Linked DNA regions of Oryzias latipes. The protein of the gene in region 1 purifies or fractionates together with the protein of each later gene. This does not show direct contact. Links are inferred from orthologs where the notes say so. Each region holds a gene or a part of one and is shown in the gene's direction. Other genes may lie near its edges.

Evidence for each region. The genes of interacting proteins can lie anywhere in the genome.
Region 2: the proteins of ttc4 (region 1) and hgh1 purify together in Homo sapiens (co-immunoprecipitation; 4 studies listed by BioGRID and IntAct, counting the BioPlex papers as one, with this or other methods). This does not show direct contact. The link is inferred for Oryzias latipes from reciprocal best matches to the Homo sapiens genes TTC4 and HGH1.
Region 3: the proteins of ttc4 (region 1) and edrf1 purify together in Homo sapiens (affinity purification with mass spectrometry; 3 studies listed by BioGRID and IntAct, counting the BioPlex papers as one, with this or other methods). This does not show direct contact. The link is inferred for Oryzias latipes from reciprocal best matches to the Homo sapiens genes TTC4 and EDRF1.

Annotation. Positions count from the first base shown.
Region 1 is NC_019862.2:15,622,856-15,627,111, forward strand, and holds the start of ttc4 (tetratricopeptide repeat protein 4), read left to right. Parts: upstream 1-1,456; 5' UTR 1,457-1,751; intron 1,752-1,866; 5' UTR 1,867-2,304; coding exon 2,305-2,412; intron 2,413-2,502; coding exon 2,503-2,620; intron 2,621-2,744; coding exon 2,745-2,906; intron 2,907-3,005; coding exon 3,006-3,083; intron 3,084-3,178; coding exon 3,179-3,303; intron 3,304-3,374; coding exon 3,375-3,461; intron 3,462-3,546; coding exon 3,547-3,779; intron 3,780-4,256.
Region 2 is NC_019863.2:850,291-854,383, forward strand, and holds the start of hgh1 (protein HGH1 homolog), read left to right. Parts: upstream 1-1,293; 5' UTR 1,294-1,394; intron 1,395-1,908; 5' UTR 1,909-1,934; coding exon 1,935-2,044; intron 2,045-3,434; coding exon 3,435-3,573; intron 3,574-3,647; coding exon 3,648-3,785; intron 3,786-4,093.
Region 3 is NC_019873.2:19,101,032-19,105,066, forward strand, and holds the start of edrf1 (erythroid differentiation-related factor 1), read left to right. Parts: upstream 1-1,235; 5' UTR 1,236-1,638; coding exon 1,639-1,737; intron 1,738-1,963; coding exon 1,964-2,160; intron 2,161-2,376; coding exon 2,377-2,443; intron 2,444-2,526; coding exon 2,527-2,652; intron 2,653-2,741; coding exon 2,742-2,866; intron 2,867-2,981; coding exon 2,982-3,126; intron 3,127-3,299; coding exon 3,300-3,401; intron 3,402-3,997; coding exon 3,998-4,035. UniProt on the Homo sapiens protein: Transcription factor involved in erythroid differentiation. Involved in transcriptional activation of the globin gene.

The DNA of each region.
Region 1 (4,256 bases):
CACAATAAAAGCAGGTACCTTCCTCCTTACGTCGACGACGTGTTGATGACGTGTCGATTATGCCTGAATCCATTGGAAACCTGCAACAAAAGTTCAGTCACTGAGTCAGAAATGTATAAATCTATATAACTATATTAGCCTAGTCCTAGTATACTGTTTATAAGTTTAACTAAATAAAGTTTACATTTATGTCAACAGCAATTATACGTACTTCATGTAGCATGTTGATAATAGCCCTGCAGCATCATGCATGCCAACGTGTGTTCTATTAATAAAGCCCCTCCAGCAGTAAAAGAAAAAATTATAGTTCTTACCTGTGAAATGTTCTGCCTTCGTCCTTTGTGGACTCTGATTTTGGCAGTTGAAACTTGCACAATGAACTGGCATTTAGCAAAAAATGAGTTCACATGCATGCACTGCAGCAGTAACTTGACCTCACCAAGATGGCGGTGCTCCCCTCCCATGAGGAATCACGTGATGTCTCCTCTAGCGATATAACTCATTGGTCCTACGTGAGAAAGTGCTACAGGAACATTATAGAAACAGAAAAATAAAAAATAATAATAATAAAAAAATTCTTTGGAGTGTTCATTGGAGTGAGTCCTTAAGTTATGGGGTTTTGTTAGATAAACATTTTTATTTTTCTGGTAAAGGGCATTTCAACTCAAAGAAAAACTTTTGAGCTATAGCAGAATCTGGACTCATCGCTGACTATAGAACGTTTTTGCACATATTTATTAGAGCCTCGTGCGAATGTAATCAGGCAACTGATTGGTTACACCTGTGGATACCTGACAGTGCCAGATTGGGGAATGGACATAACGGTGTGGGTACCGGATGTTCTCGGGTTGCCGGATGTTCTCTGGGTCCTTCGGGGTCCTTCGACCAATGATGACGTCACACTATTTGATTGGCTGTAAGTTGCCACGACCAATGAGTTAACGTCGCTAAGTTTTTTTAAAAACTTTATTGACAATTGCGGTATCATACATTAACAATGACATAAACGTTAACAACGAACAATAAAGATGTAATCAATATTGCCTCGAAGATCAGTCACCATTGCCAAATATAACATATTGACATAGAAAATAAAGAATAGAGGGGAAAAAAAGAAACAATGAACATAACACACAAATAAATAAAAACATAAGTAAAATAAAATAAAGGAACATAGAAAAAATCTAAGTAGTCTAATACTAGTTAAGTTAGGGGTACTCGTGAAGTTTTTATTTCTGAACAAAACTAAGCAATTTCAAGCCATTCTTCTTTTTCATATAATGAAGTGATTGAAAGCAAAAACAGAGCTCTTTATTAAATGTTATAAAAGTGGTTTGGTCTTCAAAACTTGACCTCACCAAGATGGCGGTGCTCTCCTCCCATGAGGAACTACGTGATATCTCCTCTAGTGATATAACTCATTGGAAGGACCCTGAAGGACCCCGAGAACATACGGCAACCCGAGAACATCCGGTACCTACAACGGCATCTGTGGTCACGAAAAATGTAAACAACAGAGACTTAACTGTCTCACCAAATATAACTTAGTAATATTTCTTTGTTTTTGTTTATTTAAAACCCGCCCCTCCTCTTTTCACGTTGCATAATTTAGAAAAAAAGACCTTAAATGCAGTTAGCAAGAAAAACGGATGGGGCTTTTGGGAATTTGTGCATTTTGATACATGGAAACAAAAGGAAGAGTTAAACCATCATTTTTGGGGAAATTAAAGGAGGAAAAGTGACAAACATAGGTAAGTACAGAAATAAATTGGTCATGTTGGAGCAAAACTTCATCATAAGACAAACAAGCTTATCTAATTTGGTGCAATGTAATTCTGATTATCTTTTATTTTTATTTATTTATAGGGGATGTATTTTATTTCTTCTATTTTTCTTTTTTAACCTATTTAAATAGATTTTTCTGCATAAGAGAATATCATTTTGAATTTGAGTGGTAATTACAACAATTTTACTTTGTTACATCAGAAAATAATATCTCACTGTAATACTTTCCTTTTTAAATTCGCAAATCCCAACTAACATTAGTTAGTTCTCTGCCTAAACAAGATTGTGAATAAAGAACATTTTAAAAGCGAGCTTATCTGGAGGTGGAACCAAAGACATGCGTCATGTGATTCCGCACGGACCTTTCATTCTGCAGTACGGTTGGGAACATGTGTAAACAAGAGGTCTAAAGAACATTTTACACTGGACGGCCTCTGGTCTTGTTTCACCTCAAATAATCGGCGTATTGACGATTCGTAATTGTAACATTTTGTTGGAGTATACATATTTTTAACAAAAATGGCGGCAGAGACTCATGGCGACAGTGACGATGGCATGGACGAGTTCATGGACAAATTCAAGACGCAGAGATATAAAAACGCCTTCAGTGAAAAAAACTGGGAGCAGGTAAATCAGCAATTGGAACTTGGTCTTTGACAATTAAACTGACGCCGTTTCAGGTGATGAGGCTAACTTGCTGATGTATTTAATTTTCAGGAGTTTAATAAAATCCCAATGTTCATGAAAACAGCTCCTGAAGAAATAGACCCTAAGAATTACCCTGAACTGGCTTGTCTCCAGTCAATAATCCACGATGATGACCGATCTCCAGAGGGTGAGCCAGTCCTCGACATAATGACTAATCTACTGTCAATTTAATAATTATCATGAAAATGATGGGGTCTGATTTAATTTAATTTTTTTATTATTTTTTCTTCTTTTTCTTATCTAATTTGTAGAACAAGCAAAGAGTCTGAAAGATGAAGGAAATGCGTTTTTCAAGGAGAAGAACTACAAGAAGGCCATTATTTCTTACACTGGAGCTTTAAAGAAGAAATGTGGGGACCAGGAACTCAATGCTGTTCTCCTCACTAACCGGGCAGCTTCACACTTCCACCTGGGTACAAATTGATTTACTGTTTGAGATAAATTGAATTAATTCCTGATTTTTAATGGATAACAAATGTATGATGTTAAAATGTTTATTTTGTGCCATGCAGGGAACATGCGCTCTGCACTGAATGATGCTGCAGCTGCAAAAAAAATCAAGCCGGGCCACCTTAAAGCCTTGATCAGAGGTTATTAGCACTTAATGTGTAACTAGTACCAAAAAAAAAAATATCCAACTGTTCTACCAAGTGCTGACACAGAATGTGTGATTTGGGGTCTATAGGTGCTCAGTGCTGCATTGAGCTGCGCAACTTTTCAGAGGCTCTCCAGTGGTGTGACGAGGGGCTAAAGGAACATACCACCGATGAGAAGCTCAGAGAGCTGAGAGCTACAGCAGATAAACACAAAGTAGGTCATGAACTCAGAAAGATGCTTTTAAGAGGAGGTTGAATCAAAGGTCTCCATTTTTCGTTTCTTAGAGAGCAGCGGAGCGGGACGCCAGGAAGGCTAAAGTTAAACAAAAGAAGTTGCATGGTGAAAAAGAGGCTCTGCTGACAGCTATACAGGTAAATGCAAGCATATTATTTCAACAATTCTTTATCGTAAGTCCTATTTCATCAATATTAAAGTAAGAGTTTTTTCCTTCCAAAGAACCGAGGCATAAAGCTTCTCCAGTCTAAGAAGCCTCACCTGAAAGGTTCAGAAAGTGAGGATGAATCTTCAGCAGCCATGGAGCAGCTGAGGTTGGACGGCCTCAGTTCTCAGGAAGTCACTGGGGCTCAGGTCTTCCAGGATGAGAAGGGCTTGTTGCACTGGCCTGTTCTCTTCCTCTACCCTGAGCATCAGCAGAGCGATTTCATCTCTGCTTTCTGTGAGAATGACTGGTAAAGTATCTTTTTTCAAAGGTTTTGGCTTCCTTTTTAGGTGTCATCCTGCTTAATAAATATGTATTAAAAACACAATATTATTCAATTCATTGTTCTAAATATTAGAAAGTTCTACTATAATAGTTATTGTACAAAGCTTCACAAAATACTGTACTTTAAAAGCAGCAATTAGTTGTTGAAGATTCTTGTTCATCTGGTGAGGTTGTCTTAAGGTGGAGTCATAAAAAGATGGACTTACTGTCTTCAAAAAAGAGAAGAAAATAAATCATGATGCTATTATAAAACTTCAAGACATGGCACAAACATGCCATGTTATCTAATACGTCTGTTTTTATTATTACATTACTATTTTTTTATTTCAGTAGTTTATGAAGAAACATTTAGAAACTATTTTCCCAAAATTTCTTTTAAGTGATGTTATTGCTGAAAATGTCCACAGGTGGGAGCTGTAATCAAATTCTAAACATTTCACCG
Region 2 (4,093 bases), on another chromosome or scaffold:
TGTCACTTAATTAAAATTAAAATGAAAATGGTATTTGACATTTCATTTTCAAGACGTTCCATGGTAAATGTGTAGCATAATTCATTTAGAAATGTCTAATTTGACAATTAAAATGGATTAACAGAAATGCTTTTTAATTTTCAAAATGTAGCTGCATTTTTTGACTCAAAATTAAAAAGAAAAAGCAATACTTCAAAATGCTTTATCATTTTATACCTAAAACCGCTTATTCTGTGTCATAATTAAAACGAAAATGCAAAGAGGGGATTGCATTTGCATTTTAACATCCACCCCGCGCACCTTGTCACAATATTCATTTCTTAAAAGCATTAGCAGAGGGGAGGCGGGGCGATGACGTCACTGCTTTCTCCGTGTGTCCGGCTGCTGACTGACGCACACACACACCAGGAGCAGACTGTGTTAGCGGCAGAGACGAGGGTTTTGTGATGGTTGTGAACTTCTGATGAGTTTCCACAGCTTCTCAGGACTACATAGCAGCATGTCCGCCTTCTGCGGTCCTCCTCCTGATGCACCGCGGACAAGCTTTTGTTCTTCGGACCGCCAGCTGCCTTCGCATAGCGGAGCGCGAAGCTCCGATGATCGCTGAAGGCGGAAATACTGCTACGATCTGAGAAACCATCATATGGATTTGTGTTTCCAGTGGTGTCCAGAACTGGTGCGTGGGTGTGCGTCAGTCAGCAGCCGGACACACAGAGAAAGCAGTGACGTCATCGCCCCGCCTCCCCTCTGCTAATGCTTTTAAGAAATGAATATTGTGACAAGGTGCGCGGGGTGGATGTTAAAATGCAAATGCAATCCCCTCTTTGCATTTTCGTTTTAATTATGACACAGAATAAGCGGTTTTAGGTATAAAATGATAAAGCATTTTGAAGTATTGCTTTTTCTTTTTAATTTTGAGTCAAAAAATGCAGCTACATTTTGAAAATTAAAAAGCATTTCTGTTAATCCATTTTAATTGTCAAATTAGACATTTCTAAATGAATTATGCTACACATTTACCATGGAACGTCTTGAAAATGAAATGTCAAATACCATTTTCATTTTAATTTTAATTAAGTGACAGAATAAGCTGTGTGGAGGAAGGAAATGAAAAAGCATTTTGGTGGATTGCTTTTTCATTATATTTTTGAGTCAAAAAATGCTTTTTCATTTTGAAAATGTAAAAGCATTTCTGGTTTTGACTTTGCTTTTTATTTATGCTACATAATCGCTTCCATATTAAAAGGCCCCCGCCCGGACAACATGAATGTGTTTCATGCAGTGGCCACGAGAGGGCGGTAAACGCGCTGGAGGACGTCAGGCTCCATCAGAAGAAGAAACCCGGAAGTGGGGATCAGCGCCGCGCGGTGTGTCACAGAGCTGCTGTCGTTAAGGTAGTGCGCTTCACCTGCATGTTCATCGATGATCGAAATTTTAGTCTTGATCGCTGGATTCCTTTTTTATTTTTTTTATTCTTACCTTTCAACCACACACGTGACGCCGTAGTTTTTTTCTTCTTCTATTAGATGAAACACAGTTTGAGAACTTGTAGACAGAGCGCGCGGAGAGCCACATTACTGAAGCCCCGCCCCCCGAATTCATCATATTTCACATTTTCAAAAATCAGATGAAGGTTTCACAAATCAGAAAGTGTTTCATGTATTCTTTACTATCTAAATGATACTTTAATCATTTATCCAGGCTTGAGCAGCCCTGGTCCTGTGGTTTTTGAACAGGACACGGTCGGTCCTCCTAGGTCAGTGGTCTTAGTTTGAAATGCAGGGGAATACTCTTTCCTCACGAATCGAAAGCTGTGAATAGGAAGCCAACTCCAGCGTCGTCACCAGAGTAGTGAATGTGAGGAAAGCTGTGCTGGTTATGAACGTTTTGCATTGGTCTCATCATCAGCATCCCGTTTTTGTGGTTTGGAGAAGATGCTGAGTGATGGTGAAGCTGCAGAGCTGCTGTCCTTCCTGACCCTTGGTACCCGCCCCGATGTGAAGGCCAAGGCCACCGAGTACATCCTGGGACTGTCTGCCAGCAGGTGATGAAGACTATGGTGGTGTCAGTGTTCCCACCTGCTGCTTAAGGTCCAAAGAACACATTCATGAATGATTTCATGTGTCTTCAAACCCTTAGAGCTTTTCTGGAATGAAGCCATTAGCTTTTGTCGAGTCCTTTTCATACAGATAAAGCCAGCTAGAGAGCTTTGCAGTGACCAGTTTGCCAGCAGGTGATGAACGTATGGGTTGATGCATCTGCACAAAGCCTGCAAATCTGGGAAGAGCATCATAGTGAGCTCTATGTTTTTGCTGCAGAGTCACATGTTTTTGTTTTATTTGGAGCTTCAGGGCAGATGGTTAGAGGAGGGTAGATGTCAGCTAGAGCTGCACTAAATGAGGAAAACTTGCAATTTGCAATATTAGTGTTCAATATTGTGATGACGATATAACCTGCGATAAATTAGCAAATAGCAGAACAACTAAATACATCATTTCCATTTCTCTGCAACAGTTGAATTCAAATAAGTCAACTTATTAACCCAAATTACACTCCACTGTCTACATAGGAGGCAAACATCTAACATATAAGGGGTCCTTCTGATTGGTCGACGATGTAAAGGAGTCCATCTGATTGGTCAAATGCATAAAGGGATTTATTTGGTTCGTTAAACACTTCAAGCTGCCATAAGATAGTTTGAGGACATTTAAGATGATCATTTATCACAATTTTCATTGATTTTTACACTGTGCAGGCCTAATGGCAGCTCTTCCATTTGTTTCTCTTTACAGCAATAAAGACATCTTTTTCTAAAAGAGAAGCTGAGCAAAAACTGAGTTGATCTACAGTTGTCACCCTTAATGGTGCAAAAAGTATTGTCAGTCTGGGATTCTGCTAGTTGTTCCACTTAAAAAATGACTTTGGTCTGTAATCTTTATCATAGATACAATTATGAGACAGAATGTGAGAAAAGAATCCAGGACATCACATTGTTTGATTTTTAAAGAATACAATGCAGCAGAAAATATGGATTTGTCATAAATAAAGGTTCACCTCAATACTTGTACTGTACTTCTGTTATCAGTGACTGAGGTCAAAGGTTTCCTTAAGGTATTCACCAGGTTTGAAGAGTCTGCTGCTCCTTTGGTCCCCAAGGGCTGTAATGTGTTGGGGCTGTTATTGGGAATCATACTGTCAACTCCCTCCACAGGCTCTCAGTTGGAATGAGGCCCCCAGCCTCTTTTGGCCATGAATCATTTTAAGGGCAAACAATATTTACACAGCAGAGCTGGCTTGGTGTGTGGGAACACCTGAGACAGTGAATCCATGTTCGGGGTAAAAACGTCTGTTAAATGTAGCTTTCTTTTTCTCTGAAGTCAGGTTCCATTTCCATTCAATGCTGTGTTCCATGCAACATTTCTATCTGCCTTCAGGGAAGGGTGCTGTTTCCTACGGTCCAAACCGGACTTGGTCAGCGCCCTCTTTGCGCTGACCTCTGACATCTCTGTTGCTATAGCGAAGGACTGCTACCACATCATCATCAACCTGTCAGCTGATGAGACTCTGCATCAGGTCAGACCTGGAATAAAAGTTCCAGCTGGCTAATGTTTTGGACCCTGTTGTGAAGTGTCTCGTGTCTCACCCAGGTTTTAGTGTCAGACGGTAAAGTTCTTCCGGTTCTATTGAAGAAGCTTCTGGATCCAGATTACCTGTTCTCTGATCAGATCTGCACCATCCTGTCTAACCTGACACGTCACGAGAGGACCTGCAAGACGGTATTCAAGGCGAGTGGCGGCTGTTACCCAGCAACACTTCTAATCTTGCAGCGTTTCACCAGACAAGGACAGGAAAATGAAAGCTGAAGTCCTTTCTCTGTCCCACGTCATGTCCTGGTGCCACAGGTCTCCATCCTTTTCCTTCCTTTGTTTCTTATTTGGATGAAACGTTGGGTTATGTGGTTAGTCATGATTATCGGCAGTGCCTTTGCTGTGTTTTTCATTTTTAAAGCATCTGTTCAAGCCTTGTTTTGGGACCAGAACCATTGTAAAAGTACTGGTTTGGCACCGGCACCAGAGAAAGTCCAAACGATTCA
Region 3 (4,035 bases), on another chromosome or scaffold:
AGCACGAAGCCTTCTGTTAAAAGCGATTGCTACCAGTTATGTTAATAAAAGACGTTAACACAGCACGTTCATACTGAAGAGAGTTATACCCTGCAACTCTAAAACATTACATACTGTGACGACCCAGAGTTTGGACAGAGCTGCAGGTGGCCGGCGCCCCCCTCTTTCTGCAAGATGCTAGACCACAGTGTGTGTCAATCAGCGGTGGGCTGATGACTGGTGGGAGAGAGGGGGCGGGGTCTACCTGTGGGTGTGTGTGCGTGTGCGTTCGGTGAACGTTGTCGCTGGAGTTAGAAGAAGCTCGCTGTGCCTGTTGGTTCGTGCTGTAACCGTTCTGAGATACAGAAACATTAATAAAGAGCTGTTTGACAACCGCCCGCCTAAGGAGCTTCCTTGCAGCTACTACAATACTTAAGTTAACGAGGTCTTAGTTGGTCTCACGTCTACGCAGTACACGGCAGGCTCATTCAGTAACAAAAAAATAAATTAAATCGATATGAAACTCACGTAAACTATGTTTTTCATAAGTATAACTTACTTTGTCATTCCTCATGGTGGAAATTCTGTCCTCTGACACATTTCTATCCCTTAAAAAGGAATAAAGAGGCTCCCGCTGATTCTCCATCTTTTCCCACAGGTCATCAAGACGAGAATGAAATGTCCCGCGAGAAGATGACGTTTTACTGTAAACAACTATGTCGTTATTACGAGAAAGTATGTCGTTATAACGAGATACTTTCTCGTTATTACGAGAAGCTGTTCCAAAAAATATTTTTCGCAGTGGCAGCTCAGAGCTTCCGTAATTTTGGAATAAAGTATTCCAAAATACATTACAAAATCATATATTTAGGCATTTGTAAGTTTTTTAAATGTTTTATACGAATACAAAATTTATTTTAAAATGTTTGTAATTTATCATAACAGTGTAAATGCCAAAATAATAATAATAATAATAATAATAATAATAATAATAATAAAAATAATAATGATGACCACGCAACAATTACATGGGGTATAATCATTAAAAGATAATCGACCAACATAGACTGCAAATACTTCCGGTTCAAGATTTTTGTATTTTAGATTTTTAACAGAATTTATTTTTAAATGCATCATTTTACGTTCTAAAATATTTTTGTGAACTTACTTAAAAAAAATTCAAAACATGTTCCACTTCAAAACGTAAAAATACAATCAATGTTGCATTTGGCATTCCTCCAACCGGAAGTCGTTGTTTGTTGACTGCTAAGAAGCGAGTTGGATACAGAAGAGAGGCAAAACAGTGTAAGTTGGGGTTCTGTTGAGCGAAAATAGTGGGAGAAGTTTGAAAGTATAAATTATTATTAATGTGGAGGATATAAAACTAACCATGTGTTTTAGTTGATGTGATTTGAGCTGAATCGTTTTTCTACCTTTGCTAGTAGTGCGGTTTATTTTAGCCTCGCAAGCTCTGGAACTATCTAGAAAGAACCCTGACTTTCTGTTACTACAGATTCGTGCGACAGGTCAGGAGGCAGATCATCGAGTCGGAAGAACGATACGTCATTATCTTAACACCAATTACATATAATAATGTAGCTGTTCGACGAATTATTTCGCTAATTTAAGCGGGAATAATAAAGTGTTGTAGAAAAAAAAATGAGCTCAACAGCTGGCGATGACAGAAATCCTGGGATCCTCCTGGATAATGATAAAGACATTGGAAGTCCTGCCTGCTCAGAGGATTGCAGCAAACGGGTAAGCAACATAAAAGAATGAGCTATATAATTGTTTATATTAATATGTTGTGTTTTTATGTCTTGTTTATACACTAACAAGCAATCCTTGTTTCTATTAGGCTTATTTATGCAGTTATTAGACCTTATTACATAGTCATAGGAAAAATAAACTAAGATTTGTACTTCAAATGTCTGCCTCTCCTGTTTAATTAGAACATGAATGTTTTTGTCTCCTGCTTCACCAGGATCCCACTATGTATTTGGGAAATGGAGAAGTGAAGAGTAGTGCTGTGGTCAAGTACTCTGCTGCCCCCCCCAGCACTTATGCCCTCCCTGAGGAGAAGACGGACCTGAAGCTGCCACCTGCCAACTGGCTGAGGGAAAACCCCCAGCTTGGCAGCGCTGTTTTAGGGTCAAGCAGCAAAAGCAAGCCCTTTTCCAGGTTCCTCATCTATTTCTTAAAGATCCAGTCCCTGAATGATGACATATGACCTTAAGATTTTTGGATTTAGAGTACATTGGGAGGTCCAAATTACATTTTAAAACGTTTTATGTATTTGTTTGAACCTGAAAATCTATTTCTTTTTTTTTCTTTTTAATAACAATTAACCAATTTAAACACATATTGATGTATCACATTTCTTTGTTTTCATTTTAGTTTTGGAATTGCCTATGACTTCATTGATTGTATTGGGAATGGTGTTGATGTGGTATCAGACTCTGAGGTTTGTGGAGAGTTTTCCTTTTTTTTACCTCTCTGACATTTGAAGACATGGCAGACTTTAATGATGGGCTCTATCATCCTCAGAACATCAAGAAACTCTTGAAGATTCCTTACAGCAAGTCCCACGTTAGCATGGCTGTTCACCGGGTTGGAAGGACGTTGCTTGTAGACGAGCTGGACATTCAGGAGCTTTTTAGAAGATCCTCTCAGGTAGATTTGAGGGTGGATCCCTTTTCTACATTCTTCCATTTATATTTTATTTTTGACAGTAATGTGTTTTTTTTTAATGCAATGTTTAGACAGGAGACTGGACATGGCTTAAAGATTTTTACCAGCGTCTAAATGATCAGAAATGGCAGCGGAAGAAAAAGAGTAAAGAGCACTGGTATCAGAAAGCCATCCTGTCAAAGTTTCTCTACTACAGGTAAGTTTTTGTTTAGGATAGTGTTAGATATAATTTGGTGCAATGTTCTACTTAAGGGCGTGTTTCTTGTTACATAATCTGTCCAAAAATCACATGTTTTTCTTTGTTTCTGCAGCATAAATGGTGATGGGGCTGCAGAGCCTGTGTTAGACAACATGAATGAGGGGGATGATGACAAAAATGCTGAAGAGTGCAGCTCCTCGTGGCCTGCAACCTTTACCAGCCCATCAGATGCTCAAGAATCAGAAATTCCTGAACAGGTAGCTTTACTAGTGAGCTCAATAAGTATGGTCGGGTCAAAAAGCTGTTTTCAGACAGTGAGAATTTTTGTGGCGGGCAAGAATTTTTTTTTTTTTTTTTTTTAGTTTGTTTTCAGTTCAATTACATAATGCCCAAAAATATAATGAACACACTGATGCCTTTTGATACTCAGGAAGGTGTTTCTGCGGACAGTAAATTTGCTCTGGGCCAGGTGACATCAGTATTAAAAGAGCAAAACCTCCCTGCTCTCTTCAATGAAGGCGAGAACAGCCAGGTAACAAAGTTCTATTCAAATGTCTGGAATTTCACCACAAACAAGAGCTGGATATTGTTTTTATTTTCAAAGATTATTCAATGTGTTTATAATTTCGAAATAAAAAGGAAAGTTTAAGAAATATTTAACCGTTATTTGCATTCATTTAGCTTTGATCGACTCAGGATATTAAATGACTACTCCGGCCACAAGGTGGCAGTATTCCTTATCATTATGACTAGGTGCATATAAAATACTATGAAGAGTATAATAATAGAACAACACAGCGTCACCTAAGAGTGAAGAGATATAAGAAGCACCACTGAGGGTTGCAAAGGATATGAGGTGAAAACACATTTGTGAGGTTTTTTGTTTATTTAAGCTTTGAATTTTATAAAGATCAGCACTATCTGATATACTTATGTTTAAACACTTTTCATACTGGATTTGATGTATTGTTCGCGTATTTTTATCAAATGAATTGATTGGAAAAAAGTACAAGACTGTGTTTTATGGAAAAATGGGGGGAAGATTGTTGAAAAATTAAACAAAGATTGTGATATTGATTACTGTTAAATTCTTTCTGTACAAGTTTTGACGACTTGCATTCTTTGCAGGGTTTAAGGAATGACTTTGTGCGAAACATCATGTGGAC